3 linked regions of the Macaca fascicularis genome follow. Each later gene encodes a partner of the first gene's protein in a complex. Links are inferred from orthologs where the notes say so. Each region holds a gene or a part of one and is shown on either strand. Other genes may lie near its edges. The genes, in order: TAF6, TAF10 and TAF11.

Evidence for each region.
Region 2: TAF6 (region 1) and TAF10 share a complex: the UniProt entries of both Homo sapiens proteins name them as parts of the TFIID basal transcription factor complex. The link is inferred for Macaca fascicularis from reciprocal best matches to the Homo sapiens genes TAF6 and TAF10.
Region 3: TAF6 (region 1) and TAF11 share a complex: the UniProt entries of both Homo sapiens proteins name them as parts of the TFIID basal transcription factor complex. The link is inferred for Macaca fascicularis from reciprocal best matches to the Homo sapiens genes TAF6 and TAF11.

What each region holds. Positions count from the first base shown.
Region 1 is NC_088377.1:48,763,824-48,767,473, forward strand, and holds part of TAF6 (transcription initiation factor TFIID subunit 6), read right to left. Parts: intron 3,244-3,650; coding exon 3,124-3,243; intron 2,623-3,123; coding exon 2,477-2,622; intron 2,369-2,476; coding exon 2,291-2,368; intron 2,199-2,290; coding exon 2,097-2,198; intron 1,695-2,096; coding exon 1,512-1,694; intron 650-1,511; coding exon 575-649; intron 449-574; coding exon 323-448; intron 1-322. UniProt on the Homo sapiens protein: The TFIID basal transcription factor complex plays a major role in the initiation of RNA polymerase II (Pol II)-dependent transcription.
Region 2 is NC_088388.1:59,467,002-59,470,190, forward strand, and holds TAF10 (transcription initiation factor TFIID subunit 10), read left to right. Parts: upstream 1-1,202; 5' UTR 1,203-1,227; coding exon 1,228-1,474; intron 1,475-1,597; coding exon 1,598-1,752; intron 1,753-1,967; coding exon 1,968-2,032; intron 2,033-2,116; coding exon 2,117-2,231; intron 2,232-2,408; coding exon 2,409-2,498; 3' UTR 2,499-2,578; downstream 2,579-3,189. Other genes in the region: scaffold protein ILK, read right to left, coding at 2,809-2,958, 3,142-3,189. UniProt on the Homo sapiens protein: The TFIID basal transcription factor complex plays a major role in the initiation of RNA polymerase II (Pol II)-dependent transcription.
Region 3 is NC_088378.1:136,813,211-136,816,860, forward strand, and holds part of TAF11 (transcription initiation factor TFIID subunit 11), read left to right. Parts: intron 1-1,483; coding exon 1,484-1,571; intron 1,572-1,798; coding exon 1,799-1,895; intron 1,896-3,144; coding exon 3,145-3,275; 3' UTR 3,276-3,650. UniProt on the Homo sapiens protein: The TFIID basal transcription factor complex plays a major role in the initiation of RNA polymerase II (Pol II)-dependent transcription.

The sequences.
Region 1 (3,650 bases):
GGGACCACAGGCACATGTCACCACTCCCAGCTTTTTGTTTTTCGTAGGCGGGGTCTCGCTACATTGCCCAAGCTGGCCTCCTAGGCTCCCAGAGTGCTGGGATTACAGGCGTGAGCCACCACGCCCAGCCAGCCCCCTTATTTTTTACTCAGCTTGAGTCTCAGTCTTTCCATCTGTAAAATAGTATCAGACTTTGCAGTATGTTCTGAAAACAGGAGGCAAAGATGGGAGTAGGTGAATAAAATACGCCATATGCTTGCTAAACGCCGGCTGTCTCTCGGGGGGTCGGGGGCGCAGGTGCAGGGACAGGGGCTTCGGTTACCAGCAGAAGGCTCTGCACATGGTCTGCTCCAATCCGGTCAATGTTGCTCAACACAGGGCCGTCCAGCACACTGCGGATCCGCTCCCCTTCCTGCTGTAGCCGGGGCAGAATCAGAGTCTTGATAACCTGTTGGAAGGGAAAGGAAGAAACCAAAGCCGGAGGGTCACCAGGGTCTCCCAGGTGGGGGCACAGTGCCCTCTATAACCTCATGACTGCGTCCCCTCCCCCATTTCTTCCTCCCAGAGGCCTAACATCGTGTCCCAGCTCAGCCAAGCCTGCGATGGAGCCATAACGAGTCGTCCAGGGCGTCTTCTCGTCCACCCAGCTCTGTAAGGGGAAGGAAATAAACTAAGATGAAGGGGTCTGAAAGGATGATTGATAGGGACCCACGTCTTTCATAGACACTTTCCTTGTAAATCATTAAGACATGACAGTGAGGCCAGGCGCGGTGGCTCACGCCTGTAATCCCAGCACTTTGGGAAGCTGAGGCAGGCAGATCACCTGAGGTCAGGAGTTCAAGACCAGCCTAGTTAACATGGTGAAACCCTGTCTCTACTAAAAACACAAAAATTAGCCAGTTGTGGCCAGGCACAGTGGCTCACACCTGTAATCCTGGCACTTTGGGAGGCTGAGGCAGGCAGATCACCTGAGGTCGGGAGTTCTAGACCAGCCTGACCAACATGGAGAAACCCCGTCTCTACTAAAAATACAAAATTAGCTGGGTGTGGTGGCACATGCCTGTAATCCCAGCTACTCAGGAGGCTGAGGCAAGAGAATCGTTGGAACCCAGGAGGCGGAGGTTGCAGTGGGCCGAGATCGCATCATTGCACTCCAGCCTGGACAACAAGAGCAAAACTCCGTCTCAAAAAATAAATAAATAAATAAATTAGCCAATTATGGCTGCAGGCACCTGTAATCCCAAGTACTCAGGAGGCTGAGGCAGGAGAATTGCTTGAACCCAGGAGGCAGAGGGTGCAGTGAGCAGAGATCGCACCACTGCACTCCAGCCTGGGCAAGAGTGAGACTCCATCTCAAAAAAAAAAAAAAAGGCATTACAGACAAGCCTCAAGGCCCTTAGAGCCCCACAAGTTCCAGTCCCTCTTCCCTCTGCCCTTGTTTCCAGTGTCACTTCCCCCAACCAGAGGTGGCCAGTGATGAAACCAATGGTGCTCAAGTTTCCCTGGCTCACCTTGGTGAAGGTCTTGGTGATTCGGGACTGGATGTTGTTAGTGGTTGTGCTAAAATGCTTGCAGATCTGGGCCACCAGGCGGGCAGCAAAGTCTCGGAGTGCCCAGTGATTGTCCACATCTGGTCGCAGGCACAGCTGTCTGCTCACGATGCAGGTCATCACAGCCGGAATCAGCTCATGGACCTAAGGGAGAAAGGGCGGGGCAGCTGATTCTGGTTTTGTTTGTTTGAAACAAAGTCTCACTCTGTCACCCAGGCTGGTGTGCAGGGGCACAATCATGGCTCGCTGCAGCCTCAATCATCCAGGCTCAAGCAATCCTCCCATCTCAGCTTCCCAGGTAGCTGGGACCACAGGTATGCACCACCATGCCTGGCTAATTTTGTTTTTGTTATCTTTTTTTGTAGAGACAGTAGTCCTACTACTATCCTCAGGTTGTCCTCAAACTGCTGAGCTCAAGCGATCCTCCCATCTCGGCCTCCCAAAGTTGCTGGGATTTCAAGTGTGAGCCACCGCTGACCACTGACTTCCTGTTGGTGGCAGCAGGGTCCCTGGTCCCTGGAAGGGAAGGTGGGCAGGACCACTCACGTATTTTTCTAGATAGAGCGTGGGGTTGTCCATCAGCGCCTTCACCATACGCATCAGGTAGATGAGTAGGGCCAGGTTGTTCTGAACCACATTCACACGGACCTGCGGGAGGGAGGAGTGCTGGGCATGGGGCAGGGAGACCCTCACAGGAGCTTCCGCTGCCGTCCCTGCACAGTGGAACCTCATGCTCTCACCCCCTCCGAGATGAAGGTACTGAACCGTGGCAGCATCTGATACAGCCCGGGGTCCGTGGCAATGCTTTGCAGGGCTTCCTGTGGGAGGAGGGAAGCCAGTCAGGTGGGGGTAGGATGTGGGGAGCAATTCATAGGACCCCCAGGAGGAGGAGTCTCAGGGCCAGGGCAGGCTGGTGGGGCCCTCACCGCCCTCTTGGCCTCGCAGGAGCCCACACAGGCCTCGGTGATCTCCTTGTAGTAGAGCTGTTGCTCCACAGACAACTCATGGATGCTCCGGGGCTTCAGTCGCAAGGGGGCCCCCTCCAGCAAGGGCGGTGCCTTCTTCTCTTTCCCTGTGTGATTGGAGAGGTGGGTCTGACAAAGAAAGCTCCAGAAGAAACCTCAGTAACAGAAGAACCTTAACCCTCCACTTCCCCTGAGACTCAGGAGACCCAGCTTCTTCTTAGGCTTCCCCATCCTTTCTGGGGCTCTCTGGCCCACTTCACCAATGGCCACATGGAGGCTTGGCATGGTGGCTCACACCTGTAATCCCAGCACTTTGGGAGGCCAAGGCAGGCGGATCACATGAGGGTGAGTTTGAGACCAACCTGGCCTACATAGCAAAACCCTATCTCTACTAAAAAAAACTACAAAAATTAGCTGGGCGTGGTGGTGGGCACCTGTAATCCCAGCTACTCAGGAGGCTGAGGCTGCAGTGAGCTGAGATTGTGCCACTACACTCTGGCCTGGGTGACAGAGTGAAACTCTGTCTCAAAAACAAAAAAAGGATACAAAACAAATGGCCACGTGGCTTTGGGCAAGAGTACAGAGAGGCCTGGCCTAGGAGGACTGACCTTTGCCGTCAGCTGCGGTGGCCCCTTGACCTTTGCCCTTCAGGGGTCCGTCTTCCTCTTGGCCTGGCTTGGCTGACTTCAGGGGTTCTGTGGCTTCGGCCTTCTGTTGCTCTTTGGGAGCTGGTGGGAAAGCAGGCACAGTGGGAGGCGTGACGAGAGTAGCAGGAAAAGTAAAGGGAGGAGGCTGGATGCGGTGGCTCACGCCTGTAATCCCAGCACTTTGGGAGGCCAGGGCGGGTGGATCACCTCAGGTCAGAAGTTCGAGACCAGCCTGGCCAACATGGTGAAACCTCATCTCTACTAAAATTACAAAAAATTAGCTGGGCGTGGTGGTGTGTGCCTGTAGCTCTAGCTACTCAGGAGGCTGAAGCACAACAATCGCGTGAACCCAGGAGGCAGAGGTTGCAGTGAGCCGAGATTGTGCCACTGCAGTCCAGCACTCCCGCACTCCAGCACAGGCAACAGAGTGAGACTCCATCAAAAAAAAAAGGTGGAAGGAGGGGGAAAGGGACCCAGAGACCCAGAGG
Region 2 (3,189 bases), on another chromosome or scaffold:
TCACAAACCTTCGTTGCTATTTGTTCCTAAGTAACAAATCATTTTTCCTCCTCCCTCCCCAAACCCCAAGGAACTCTCACTCTTGCTCAAGCTGTTCTGTCCCCTTAATACTACCCCTGATACAAACTGCCTGGTTAATTTCCAGAATTCTTACAAGATTCAGCTCAGAAGTCACCTTCTCTCGTGAATGTTTTGATTCCCTGAGGCTACTTCATTTTGCTATGGCTGAAAAATCCTAGATTTTCTAAACAAAACCTGTTTGAATCTTGGTTCTGATATGGACTGGGAGAGAGACTGGGTCAAGCAAGTTTATCTCCCTGAGGCTGTTTCCTCGTCTGTTAAGTGGGAATATTACCTGCCTTTCATAATCACCAGGGAATAAAGTGGAATAATGTTGATAAGAGTACTTGGCACCTGGAAGTAGGTGGCAGATGTTAATGCCCTTCCTCCCTTGCACTGCGACCCCTGTGTCTACCTCTAGTATTGTAACGACCACATAGTATTGAAATAGCCACTTTACTTGTCTGGCTTCCTTTCCAAGACCGTTGGTGCCTAGAGGACTAGAATCGTGTTCTATTTAACTTTGTATTCCCAGGTCCTAGCTCAGGAGTTGGCAAATAAGAATTAAATATCTGCTACATTGAAAATCTCACGCCTTTCACTCGTTGTGATTTTTGCATACGTTGTCGACTTAGGCTGAAACCCCTCCTCCTTCTACAGCAGCACTGTGGGCCGCCCCACTGCTGCCCCCACCTCTCGGGGCAGTTGGTGGAGAAGGGCGGGGGGCTTTCCAAATCCACTATGAATCCTTACAAGGCTGAATAAGGGAACTTGAAAGGATGCAGACAGGCAGGCAATCCGCAGTCGAGGGATGTAGGGCCCATAAACCTCGAAGCAAGGTCTTGAGCGTCAGACAGAATGAGGTGTCCCAGAGCGGCGGAAGAGTCCCGGACGCACGCTGCTTCTAGTCTCGACGGAATCGCCACCGAGCACCGCAGAGGCTAGGGCGGAATGGCGACGGCAGCGCAGTTCGCCAAGGCTTGGTCTCCGCCCTTCAGCCTATTTCCTCTAACCCGCAGACCCACTACCAGAGGAGGCGGGGAGCGGGCTGGAGAGCACTAACAGTGACAGGCGGGGCGAGTCGAGGGCGCGTGACGTCACCCCGGGGTGTGCGCGGCGCGAGCGGAAGCGGAAGCGGCTCTGTTCGCCGCCTCTCCCACCGGCCCGATGAGCTGCAGCGGCTCCGGCGCGGACCCCGAGGCGGCGCCGGCTTCCGCCGCCTCGGCCCCGGGCCCGGCACCCCCGGTCTCGGCTCCCGCAGCGCTGCCCGCCAGCACCGCTGCGGAGAACAAGGCCAGCCCCGCGGGGACAGCAGGGGGGCCTGGGGCTGGAGCAGCTGCTGGGGGCACGGGACCCTTGGCGGCGCGGGCCGGGGAGCCAGCTGAGCGGCGTGGGGCGGGTGAGGGCCTGACGGGTGAGGGCGAGGGAAGCGTCTGGGACTGGGCCCAGCGGCGGGTGAGGGCAGCGGGTATAGACAGACCTCGCTGGGGCCCTGCGCCTCCCACCTCTGTGTCTCATTTTGCTGGTTCTCCTCCAGCTCCGGTGTCGGCGGGTGGCGCGGCGCCCCCAGAAGGGGCCATGTCTAACGGGATTTACGTACTGCCGAGCGCGGCCAACGGAGACGTGAAGCCGGTGGTGTCCAGCACGCCGTTGGTGGACTTCTTGATGCAGCTGGAGGATTACACGCCTACGGTGGGCTTCCGCCCGAACAAGGCCACCTAGCCTGCTGTCACAACTTTCAGCCACATCTCCGTGCTTTTCAGCACCCTCTGATGTTTGCTTCCGTAGTCGCTCTTGTTTTTGCCCTCTGCTCACCCAAATCGTGAGCTTCCTGATAACCAGGTCTATCCGACATTTCCCTCACCCTCATCCCACTCTGCTGACAGTTCTCTTAATTGATTTCTTAGATCCCAGATGCAGTGACTGGTTACTACCTGAACCGTGCTGGCTTTGAGGCCTCAGACCCACGCATGTGAGTAAACCCAGGGCAGGTTAGTTTTGGGTGCTTGTGCAGTGTGTTGTCCATCTCCTTCTCATCTAAGTTTTTTCTCTCTAGAATTCGGCTCATCTCCCTAGCTGCCCAGAAATTCATCTCAGATATTGCCAATGATGCCCTACAGCACTGCAAAATGAAGGGCACAGCCTCCGGCAGCTCCCGGAGCAAGAGCAAGGTGTGAGGGGAGGCTCATTGAATCACTAATTACCTTCCACAACAGTGGAAGCTTATCCTGCCACCCCTTTGGGGAAACTGAATCCTAGGGGAGGTGTAAAACTTACTCAGGGTCACCCATCTGGGATTGAAGTGTGGGATTCCTGTGCTCAGTTGGTGCTCTTCCCTCTTCCCTCAGGACCGCAAGTATACTTTAACCATGGAGGACTTGACCCCTGCCCTCAGCGAGTATGGCATCAATGTGAAGAAGCCGCACTACTTCACCTGAGCCACCCAACCTAAATGTACTTGTCTGTCCCCATGTCCCCACACCAGCCTGTTTTCATAATAAACTTTATTGTGACAGGCGGGGCTGATCCCTCCCATGTTGGGAGACACCATGTGGCAAGTGACAAAGCTCTGAGCCCGCCCCTTTTGGGGCCACAGTGGTAGGGATGGGGGAAGGGGATGGACCCCATGGCTGGGGTAGTACCATGACTGGAGGCAGGGGAGGCAACCAGAGGTCTGCTGCTTTGGGGAAGTACATTCCCCCAACCATGTCCTGACACCTCTGGAGTTCAGGCAAGGGCCTTCCGGTCCTACTTGTCCTGCATCTTCTCCAGGATAGGCACAATCATGTCAAATTTGGGTCGCTTTGCAGGGTCTTCGTTCATGCAGATCTTCATGAGCTTACACACATGAGGGGAAATACCTGGTGGGATGGTAGGCCGAAGGCCTTCCAATGCCACCTGTGAATACAAGAAAAAACTGAGCCTCACAATTTGAGTCTGTCATGTAGAGAGAAGCCACTGGCCCCTGGGACAGGATAACTGTATATCCGAACAAATATGGGAGGAGCCCAGGCCCACTACAGTTATTTTCACCATAACCAACCACTCCCCCAACACAAATGTATGCTGTTCTGCTCTCACCTTCATTCCAATCTCCATATTGGAAAGATCAGCAAAGGGTACCTCCCG
Region 3 (3,650 bases), on another chromosome or scaffold:
TCCATGTCACTAATTATACATCTAGGTCATAGTTTTCTTTTTTTTTTTTTTTTTTTTTTTTGAGGCAGAGTCTCGCTGTGTCGCCCAGGCTGGAGTGCAGTGGCATGATCTCGGCTCACTGCAAGCTCCGCCTCCCGGGTTCACGCCATTCTCCTGCCTCAGCCTCCCGAGTAGCTGGGACTACAGGCGCCCGCCATCACGCCTGGCTAATTTTTTTTTTTTTTTTTGTATTTTTAGTAGAGATGGGGTTTCACTGTGTTAGCCAGGATGGTCTCGATCTCCTGACCTCGTGATCCACCCACCTCGGCCTCCCAAAGTGCTGGGATTACAGGCTTGAGCCACCGCACCCTGCCTAGGTCATAGTTTTCTTAAAAATAGAAATAGCTTTATGACATTTTCTGATTGTAAAAAGTAGTATGGGCTCATTGCAAATAATTCAGAGAATACAGAAAAATAGAAAAAATTACCCATAAACTCACCAGGCAGAGTTCACTCTAAGTATATAGTTGGGTATAGTGTTTGGGTATGTACCTTTTCAAAGTTTTTTTAGATGTTTGATATGTATAGCTAAATATTTTCATGTCAGTAAATTTGCTCATAAATCATAATTTTTAATGGCTACAATCGAATCCCATTATGTTGTTGAACTATAATTTAACCAGTCCCTGTAGTGGTTCTGGTTGGGTATTTGTACTTTTGACATTATGATGAGGATCTTTGGACATATCTTTGCATACTTGTCCATTACTTCCTAAGATAAACTCCTAGAGGTATAATTGCTAATTCAAATAGTATGAACATTTTCAAAGGCTTTTCATATGTATTTCCAAATTTCTCTCCAAAAAGGTGTTGCAGTTCACTCTGCCAGCATGTGTGAGTTTGTGTCCCATATTCTAATACCATTCTTTTTTTAATAGTGGTCTGATTTATGAAAAATGTTATCTATGAAAATAATATTTCCTTAGTTAATAATGTTGTTCCCCCATGTTGGTTGACCATTGGTATTTTTGTAAATTTCCTGTTCATATACTTTGTTCATTTTCAAAAATTGATATGGCCCCTTTATTTGTTTGAAAGAATTATACATTAGGAGTATTACCTGTTTCCACATATTTTGCAGATATTTCTCCTAAATCTGTTAATGTTGAAAACTACTGGTTTGATCATAAATTTGTATATTAAACACCATCAGTGTGAAATTCAGTAAGGTAGAGTCTAACGCTGAAAACACAGTCTGTATAGTAGGATACAGTGACCCAATGTTGTTCTTTTTGTTCACAGGTAAGAAAAGAAGTTTTTATTTTATGTTTTCTCAAATTCCTTTGGAGTAGAAGTATTTTATCTTCATTCCTCAAGGCACCAAGCCTAATGCTATTGACCCCTTAAGAATTCATTTTTGAATTGTCTGAGACTTTTATTGACTTAATAATATCTTTAGTATTCATTCTTACAAGTTAACTTAGTTACCTGGATCTTTGTTTAGAATCCTGGTTTCTTCTTTTTCTGAGGAGCAGCTGAACCGTTACGAAATGTATCGCCGCTCAGCTTTCCCTAAGGCAGCCATCAAAAGGGTAAGGATAGACCACCACACTTCATCTCCATCATGTTTTAGAACTGAACCCAAGGGCCATGTCCATTGGCATTTGAAGTGAGGTGTTAGACAAGTCAGTGGATTATTTAAGTGGGGAAAAAAAAATGCACCTCAGTTATCTTACCTTTTTCTGTGAATTATTTGGTACTGTGTTCCAAAGCCAGTCTTTGACTATTGTAGTCACGGAGTCTTTCTCCTTCTTTCAAGCTGATCCAGTCCATCACTGGCACCTCTGTGTCTCAGAATGTTGTTATTGCTATGTCTGGTATTTCCAAGGTTTTCGTCGGGGAGGTGGTAGAAGAAGGTGAGTAGTGTTGGTTACAAATACTGCGGTGGTCTTATTTTTAAGAATATCTATACAAAGGAGCTTATTAAAGCACCTGTGGGAGTTCTCATTTGCATTTGAAGTTGAGCAAGTGGGGAACCCTGTATTCAGGAGAAATGACCATTATTCCTTGCAAGTTTCAATAACAGATGGCAAGGAACCATCTGGGACTCCCCTCCCTGATTCCTTTCCTCAGCCCAGGGTGACAGAAGTAGACTTTGTATTTTCTGCAGTGGACTTTGCTCATTTCTGCTGCCAAAAGTAAAGATACAAGAAAAGCAATCACAGGGCTGACCTGTGTGGGATGGTGAGTTGTCCCTAATGTTGTGCTCCCTGGGAACTGCCTGCCCCCTTTATTGAGTAAAAAGCCTGGCTGTTTCCCATTGCTACTCTGACTGGTGAAATCTTTTTTTTTTTTTAATTTATTTTTTTAAGCAGGAGATAGATACTTTTAAATTATTATTATTTTTTGAGACAGGGTCTCGCTCTGTCGCCCAGGCTGGAGTGCAGTGGCGTGATCTTTATTTTTTCTTTTAATATTTTTTATGTTTCCTTTTACAAATCACAAATTTAGATGGTGTACAAAATGAGATGGTAACAGTGGTGTGACCATAGCTCACTACCACCTCAAACTCCTAGGCTCAAAGGATCCTCCTGCCTCAGCCTCCCAAGTAGCTGGGACCATAGGCATGCACTACCACACCTGGCTAATTTTTATTTTTATATAGTTATTTGAGACAGGGTCTCACTCTGTCACCCAGGCTAGAGTGCCTTGATCATGCGATCACAGCTTACTGCAACAGTGAGCTCCTGGGCTCGGGTGATTCTCCTGCCTCAGCCTGAGTAGTTGAGACCACAGGTGTGCACCACCACCCCTGGCTAATTTTTAAATTTTTTTGTAGAGACAAGGTTTTGCCATGTTGCCCAGGTTGGTCTCAAACTCCTGGGCTCAAGCAATCCTCCTACCTTGGCCTCCCTAACTGCTGGGATTACAGACATGAGCCACAGCATATGGCCTATAGGAAATATATTTTAAACTGTTGTCTATGATAAAGCCTGTTATGAGATGTTATACTAAAAAAAAATCTTCTCTTAAAAAGGAAAAATGTTTTGGTTTATTTCCTTAGCAAGCTTAAGAAAAGTTAACGAGAATTACAGGACTCAAAAGGATTATGTGATTAGTAAATTATTGTATGATAATCAGACTTTCTCCTTACCCTCTGTTTAGCACTGGATGTATGTGAGAAGTGGGGAGAAATGCCACCACTACAACCCAAACATATGAGGGAAGCCGTTAGAAGGTTAAAGTCAAAGGGACAGATCCCTAACTCGAAGCACAAAAAAATCATCTTCTTCTAGACCAAAGTCTAGAAAGGCCTGTATTACTGATGGAAGAAGTATTGGTTCCAGACTTCCTAGAAGACTGTCTGCACTGGTGCTTTAGTATCTCAGGCCTCCAAGGATTTCATGATGATTTTAACATCTTTCTCAAAACTCTGATATTTGTCACACCTAGAAAGTATGTAGCCTGATTGATACTTGCCTTGACTAAATTTTGGGACCTCTTGGGGGCATTTTGAAGTATTTAACTGTCTTGGCCAGTTGGAAGAAGATGTATGGGCCGTAGGCATCTTCTGGACAGGAGAACTGCTTTCAGAGAGAAAACCTTTCCAAGAGAGTTTTGTTTTGTTTGAGATAGGGTCTTGCTCTGTCACCTAGGCTGGAGTTCAGCGG